Linked DNA regions of Ovis aries. The protein of the gene in region 1 interacts with the protein of each later gene in a pairwise test. Links are inferred from orthologs where the notes say so. Each region holds a gene or a part of one and is shown in the gene's direction. Other genes may lie near its edges. The genes, in order: CCDC158 and GPSM1.

Region 1 (3,814 bases):
TTTCCTTCTCCAATGCATGAAAGTGAAAAGTGAAAGTGAAGTCGCTCAGTCGTGTCCGACCCTTAGCCACCCCATGGACAGCAGCCCACCAGGCTCCTCCGTCCATGGGATTCTCCAGGCAAGAGTTCAGTTGCCAAGTCATGTCCAATTCTTTGCGACCCTGTGGACTGTAGCACACCAGGCCACCATCTGCCAGAGTTGGGTAAAGTTCATGTCCATTGAATCAGTGACACCATCCAACCATCTCATCCTCTGTCATGCTCTTTTCCTTCTACCTTAGATCTTATTTTCTCTTATTCCCTCTTTAAACCCTTCTTAGAGAGCAAGCAAGAAACCAAAATTCAATGTACATGCGCCAACTGAGTGACCTGGAATCTACTGTTTCTCAACTACGTTCTGAATTAAGGGAAGCCAAAAGGATGTATGAAGACAAGGTGAGTTTAAATTTTGCTGTTCTGCTTCCAGAGACTGTTATACACAGAATCAGTTAGATAGTTTTTAATGGTTTATTTGAAAATGAGGAATCAAAGCAATCATTTAAAATTAAAAGCAGTTTATAAGATGGGTGCTAAATATCTACATGTTTAATTATACACAGTGTTTGCTCAAATCAATTCATTCTTAGAAAAGTTTCCTGCATTCTTCAAGCAAGTTTCTAAAAAATTAAAGGATAACATCATTTAAATTACTGCTACAAGGTTTAGCTTTTGCAAGTACTTGGCACCAGCTGTTCTCCCCCTCCCACTGAATACTTTAGGCTATTTCTTACTTCAACTCCTCCTTATTAATCATTGTGAGGCTTACAAACTGAATTCACTTCAAGATTAGTCTGAATAAGAAAAAATTAGCAAGCTAAATCTTCATCTCTTATCACACTGTTCCTATTAAAACTAGACATTATTATTTACTACAGTATTCTGTTTTCTCAGTTTCCATAGCTAAAAAGAAACTATTTTCATTATCAACCAATTTTTTGGAGCTTAGGTTTTTGTTGATTTCAAGGACGCAGAATAGTATCCTGTTTTGTGAATACCACCTTTCACCTCCAAAATGCCCTAGTTTGGATGATAAATCCTTTAGATAGTCATCCTACCTATAAGAGAACCTGCAGGTCTAACCACTTGTAGCCAATTTTTTTACTCCTTAGTTAATTGGGAAAAAATAGAGTATAAGAAAGCTGACAGATTTTCTTTATAACATAATCTAGTTCTACAGGGTAATGGTACAAGGGAAAAAGCTCCTTATGGGAAGAGGCAGTTGAAAAATTGCAGCACTAATTCTTCCAGATATTTTCCTGCCTTTGGGCAACCCCTCCTTTCATTATCGCTGTCACCCCTATGCTGGTCACAGGAGGGGGCTCTTTCTCCTTGATTCTCTAGTTCAAGACTTCAACTTTAGTTAGTTGTTGCACAGCTAAAAGGATAGAAAATTTAGACATGATCTTGCTATAAGGTCTAAACAATAAAGAGTAACGTGAAACTGTATAATCTCAGTTTTGAGATTTGGATCCTCTACAGGGGCTTTCAAACATTTTTGATCACTACCCACATCAAGAAATGTAGTTTTCCATATGATCTAGTATACACAGATACAATCCAAGTATGTTTCACAAAATAATATGACACTGGCTCTTTTTCTTCTCTTCAGATACTGATTTGACGCCCACTAAATTGATTTCACTTTTTCCTGGTGGGTTGCAGTGTGAACAGCACTGCTCTCGAAAACCTCTTCCTTAGCTCTTGGCCTTGATTCTTGTGTCAGGGTCATTTCAACCACTGCCACCTAGAAGTAGCCTTAAGGAGCCTTAGACTTCTTAAAGGCTAAATCCAAGAAACAAAAGCCCAGACAGAAATATTTGTTCTTTCCGGCTTCTCTGAGGCCTGCCTTTTGTGTTCTAGTTCAGGATGGACTTTTCCCCTGAAGATGGATAACAGGAATATCCACCCCATTCTGGGCAGATCAAGTCTATACAATGACTGATATTCATCATACGCAACCCATTCTGAAAAGATTTAATTTTCATTGTTTATTGACAGACCCTTTGAAAAGCCACAAAATATTAAATACTAAGACTTGACTCACCTATCTATCTTACATCATTTGAAATTAATATAGCTTTCCATTTGTAATGTTGCTTGGAAACAGCCTCTTCATAAGCTGTCACCCAGTTGTTTGCTAATATGCATGTCGTCTGATGTATAACACCATGCTGATCAACCTAAATTTGGGCATGGTAGGAAATTTTAACAAATATTGACATCTTAACAGTACAAAAATCATTTTTGTTTTTATAAACACCTATCTCTTTCGCATTGTAGAAGCATTAGCCTCAGATAAATGACTGAAACCTTTTATATGAGGGTTTTGAGGTCATGTAGATACAAACACAGTACTAAAATCATTGTCTTACCTTGCTTTAATGTAAACAATTGATCATGAACAATTTTTACAGTCTTAAAGAGTCAACATTATTGGAAAAAAGGAGGCCATATTAGTTTAATTAATTTTAATCCAGATCACTGAGACTTTTGGTAAAGCGTAGTAAGCCTAATCGAGTTGGCACCTAGAATCTCTATAGTAACTCGCTTTAGTCAAGGAACACTGAGAGATGATTATCCTGCTATGTAAATACAGATTTTAATGTCTCTGACCTGAAAAGCATTAAACATACATGGTGTAAAAAAAAAATACATAGTGTAACTAAGCAAAGAAGATCAAACACATTAACGAAAGTATTTTATTTTGTGTTCATGAAAAATTCTATCATTATAAAATATTTTCATTGTGATAAATTGAATGTAGAATTTTAAAAAAACACAGATTCTTTTGTTTAATTTCTTTTATTTTCATTTACCTTGACATTTAATAGGCTAAAGCCTATTAAAACCTTAAAATCTTAAAATTAAATAAAATCTTAAAATTTTATTTTTCCACTGCTGCTGTACGTTTAATATATACAATATATACTGTCCAAATAACAAGGAAAAAATACAGCTATGATTAAAAGTGAGATTTGTGGGAAGAGAGACTTATTATTTAAGAGTATGTTGATATTATACATCAACATATTTTATGAGAGGCAGGCAGTGTTAGTATTTTCTCCTGAGGGTCAGATTCCTTCAGAAAAAAATATTTATTATTTTTAAAAATTGATTGCATGACAGGGCTGAACAAAACTTTCCCAACTAGAATGCATAAGTATAGAGAAAACTTGTTTAGCCAGACAAGTGTCCCTTCAGATAAGCAAAAGTATTTTCATACTGATGAAAAGTGATGTTTCAAAGAAGACTGTAGACATAGCTTTCAGACATACAAAAGTGTTTTACTGTAATATTTTTTCTATTCTTCTCTTTCCATTTTAGGAGAACCTCCAGAATTCCCCTTTACGAATTTGGACCAGTAGAAGCTGTCACTATTGGCTCTGTAGATTTGGCTTTACTCTTAACTTTCGCTTTTTGATAACAAAAATATCTCACAATCTTGATTCTAAGTTTACTTTTCATACTTTGAAAGCATTTGGGGCTGAATTTCTTACTCAAAAAGTGAAGTTGTAGTAGCACTGGCTGGAGCTGTACCCTGTGCAGGGAGATTCTATGCAAATCTCTGCATAGTTCTGCCAATGCACCTCCATGCTGACCAGCAGCATTCCTTATTATCCCAGAACTGTGTATTTTTGAGCACAGAAAGCGAGATAACAATTTGGCACAATTGGTGATATCTAAAATCACTGTACGATTATAATGAGATCCCAGTACTTATTTGTCCAGTGATCCAAAACAAAAAGTAGATTCATAGATGGTGAAAGGGAAAACCA
Region 2 (3,814 bases), on another chromosome or scaffold:
ACCCCGACGTGGGGGGGTCCCGGGGAATGCCTTGAGCCTGTGGGGTGCAGGGCACAGGGCTCAGCTTCTCTGGGGGTTCGCAGCTGCGTCCCGGCCTGTTCTCGAGGTGTCACCTGGTTTTCTCAACGACTCAGGGGCAGCACGAATGGACACTGTGATCTGTCTCAGAGGGGCCTTTGGATAGGGCGGTTGAGAAGCACTGACCTAGAAAACGTTGCCTGTTTCTTAGGGAAATACGTTGACTCCCCGGTAACTCCTGGCGTTGCTCAGTCCTAACAAGGTGGGAATGAGTTCGGGGGTGCAGCGGGCCGTTTGGCGAGCACACTTTAAGTTACTCTTCCACGAGCTCTGGTGACACGTGAAGGCAGTGGGAGTAAGGGGATGGGGACGGGGTCTTGAGCCGCCTCCCACCTTTCCGGGGCGCACTTTTGCAGGCTGTCTCAGTGGGGTGGGGTGGCAGGAGCCCCCGCCCTCTCTTTAGGCCCCCGCCAAGACTCCTTCTGTGCCTGCCACCCTCCTGTCCCCCTCTGGCTCCAGGGCAGGACATCGGCTCAGATGCAGCCTTGCCCCCAGAGGTTAGGAGGTTCAAGAGCTTGGAGGTTGGGCCCCACCACTCTAGGACACAGGACAGGGAAGGGGCTGGTATCGGCTTTCACCAATGTGGCCCCGACTGTCTCGTGACCCCATGAGCCTCCTGTCCTCAGCGGGCATCGGGCCCGCCCCAGGCCGCTGTGGCCCCTCTGGAGGGTGGCGGGCGGCGCCTGGCCCAGGGGCAGCCCCTCTGCCCAGCAGCCAGGAGCCGGGCCGGAGGCTGTGTCCTCCAGTTGCAGGGGTGGCTGCAGCTGTGCTCATGCGGTCCCCCGGCAATTGGGGTCCTGGGCTTGGTGGCGGGGGCAGGTGGGGACAGACAGTGAGGCTCTGGCACAGTGAGCCACACAGCGTGCCGGCCTGGGGGGGTAGGCTCGCTGCCCAACTCAGAGCTGCCTCTGTTCGTTCATCCAAAGGGAGCCGGGCCCCAGCCGTCCGGGGGGGCCCCGCGGTGGCGAGGAGGAGCCAGGGCCCCAGGCCTGATGGTGTTACCGGGCCGCTGAGACCCCTGACCCGTCCTCTCTGCCCAGGATGGAGGCCTCATGCCTAGAGCTGGCCCTGGAGGGTGAGCGGCTGTGCAAGGCGGGCGACTTCAAGGCGGGCGTGGCCTTCTTTGAGGCCGCCGTGCAGGTGGGCACCGAGGACCTGAAGACGCTGAGTGCCATCTACAGCCAGCTGGGCAACGCCTATTTCTACCTGAAGGAGTACGCGCGGGCGCTGGAGTACCACAAGCACGATCTGCTGCTGGCCCGGTGAGCGGCCCGACCCCGCCCGCCCCGCGCCGAGCGGCCTGCCCCGGGGCCCGCCCCGCGCCACCGCGGACCCCGCCCATTCAGCCCCCGCCCCGCCCCCGGCCCGCGCCGAGCAGCCTGCCCCGCCCACTCAGGCCCCGCCCCCGCCCGCTCCACCGCGGACCCCGCCCATTCAGCCCCCGCCCCGCCCCCTGCCCACCCCGAGCGGCCTGCCCCGCCCACTCAGGCCCCGCCCCCGCCCCGCGCCCCCGCGGACCCCCGCCCATTCAGTCCCTTGCCCCACCCCCGCCCTCCCACAAGCCCCCCTTTCCCAAGGTCTCCAGTCTCCTCTGGTCTCCAGAGCTTCCCCCCGCCTGCTGCCCCTCGCTGTCCACTCCCAACCCCAGTCCCCAGACCTCCCAGGCAGGGCCGGGCTTCTCCGTTCTGAGCACCTTGGCCACAGGCCTCCCCCTCCAGCCCTGAGCTGTGCTCCCTGGCGTTCCCAGCCTTGAAACTGGGCTTCACCAGGGCCTCCCCGAGACCTGACCTGGCTGACGGGCGATCCTGGGCTGGGCCCACCCGCCTGGGGACCCCTGCCCAGCACCATCCCAGGGACTATGGGCGCCCCTGGTCCTCAGAGGCCCTCACCTGGGTCTATGCTGGGCTCAGTCCTGAGTTCGGCCCCTCACTCCTTTCTGCCCTCCAGGACCATCGGTGACCGCATGGGGGAGGCCAAGGCCAGTGGGAACCTGGGCAACACGCTTAAGGTGCTGGGCCGCTTTGATGAGGCCGTCGTCTGCTGCCAGCGGCACCTGGACATCGCCCAGGAACAGGGGGACAAGGTGGGCAGGCAGCATTGGCTGGGCGCCCCAGCTGGGACTGGGCCCCAGAGGATACCACCCAGGGCCCCAGGCGCCCGGGCTGGGAGGAAGACGGGGGATGGTCCCTGTTCAGAAACAAGGGCGCTTCTGGCTCACATGGAGGCCGTGGGGCTGAGTCCTGGGCCCCCGTTTTCCCTGTCTGCTCCCCTCTCACCGACCTCCCCGCTGAGTCCAGCGATAGTCCCCATCGCTCCTGGGCCAGGGGGCGGCGGGGGTGGAGGTGGCTCTGGGAGGAAGCCTGGGCAGAGAGGCTCTGCTGAGCCCCTGATGGCTGCTCAGTGTCCTCCCGGTGACCTTGTGGGGTCAGTGTCCCTGCCTCTGTACGGATGACGTCACTGCCTCGGGAGGGCTCCACTGCGGAGAGGTCACCGACTTGGCCCGGTCCCCCTTGGAGGTGGCAGAGCTGGAGTCCTTATCCGGGGTGTTAGAGGGGTGACCCGGGAGGGACAGAGCCCTCCTTATGACCCCTGCCTTAGTGTTTGGACAAGGGGATGCCCTTGCGCTCGTAGCCCCAGGGGCAGGGAGGACCACAAACCAGGCCGTGGGAATACCAGCTCTGCGCGCAGGGTCTGGGCGCCTGGCTCCTTGGGACTGCGGCTTTGGAGGCAGCCCCGGTCTCGGTGTCACCCCCAGGTCGGGGAGGCGAGGGCTCTGTACAACATTGGCAACGTGTACCACGCCAAGGGCAAGCAGCTGTCCTGGAGCGCCGCGCAGGACCCGGGGCACCTGCCACCTGCTGTCCGCGAGACACTGCGCCGGGCTTCCGAGTTCTACGAGTAAGCAGAACGGGCGGGGCCCCGGGTGGCTCCCCTCCCCACAGCACCCACCCCTGGCCTCCTTGGCGCCCGAAAACCAGAGTCCTCGAGCTCAGCACTGAGACGCTCCCATTAGGGGGCATGACCCCCGGGGGCCACGGGCTCAGCATCCTCTGGCCTAGACGGGCGGCAGGGCGTTGCTGGTGGGGATATGGCTCACACGCACTTGGCCTCCAGGAGGAACCTGTCCCTGGTGAAGGAGCTGGGTGACCGGGCGGCCCAGGGCAGGGCCTACGGCAACCTGGGCAACACCCACTACCTGCTGGGGAGCTTCACGGAGGCCACGACCTTCCACAAGGAGGTGAGCGGAACGGCGGGGCTGCCCCCAGCCCCCTTGCTTCGTCTGGGCTGGGTGTCTGGGCTCCTGGGTTGCACCCTGGGCACGCGGATGTTGGGCTGGCTATGCTGGGTAGGGGGGCAGCGCCTGCCACCGGTAGCAGGTCCTGGGTTGCCTCGTGACCACCTCAGGCCTTGCGTCTGTGTCCTCAGCGCCTGGCCATCGCTAAGGAATTTGGAGACAAAGCAGCGGAGAGGAGAGCCTACAGCAACCTGGGCAACGCCCACATATTCCTGGGGCGCTTTGACGTGGCCGCCGAGTACTACAAGTAGGCAGCCCCCCACTGCCCGGCCAGGGAGAGGGTGGGCTGGGCAAGGGCGCCTGGACAGCAGGCCAGGGAGGCGTCCCACTCCCCACCCCCCACCACAAGGCCTGCCCACCTGTTCCTCCCAAGGCCTGCCCACTCAGCGCCCCCCCCGGGGCCTACCCGCCTGGCCTCTCCCAGGGCCTGCCCGCCTGGCC

What was found.
Region 2: the proteins of CCDC158 (region 1) and GPSM1 interact in a two-hybrid assay, tested with the Homo sapiens proteins (2 studies listed by BioGRID and IntAct). The link is inferred for Ovis aries from reciprocal best matches to the Homo sapiens genes CCDC158 and GPSM1.

Annotation. Positions count from the first base shown.
Region 1 is NC_056059.1:92,006,069-92,009,882, reverse strand, and holds part of CCDC158 (coiled-coil domain-containing protein 158), read left to right. Parts: intron 1-319; coding exon 320-434; intron 435-3,814.
Region 2 is NC_056056.1:3,139,743-3,143,556, reverse strand, and holds part of GPSM1 (G-protein-signaling modulator 1), read left to right. Parts: intron 1-1,118; coding exon 1,119-1,340; intron 1,341-2,025; coding exon 2,026-2,161; intron 2,162-2,833; coding exon 2,834-2,976; intron 2,977-3,192; coding exon 3,193-3,316; intron 3,317-3,504; coding exon 3,505-3,620; intron 3,621-3,814. UniProt on the Homo sapiens protein: Guanine nucleotide dissociation inhibitor (GDI) which functions as a receptor-independent activator of heterotrimeric G-protein signaling.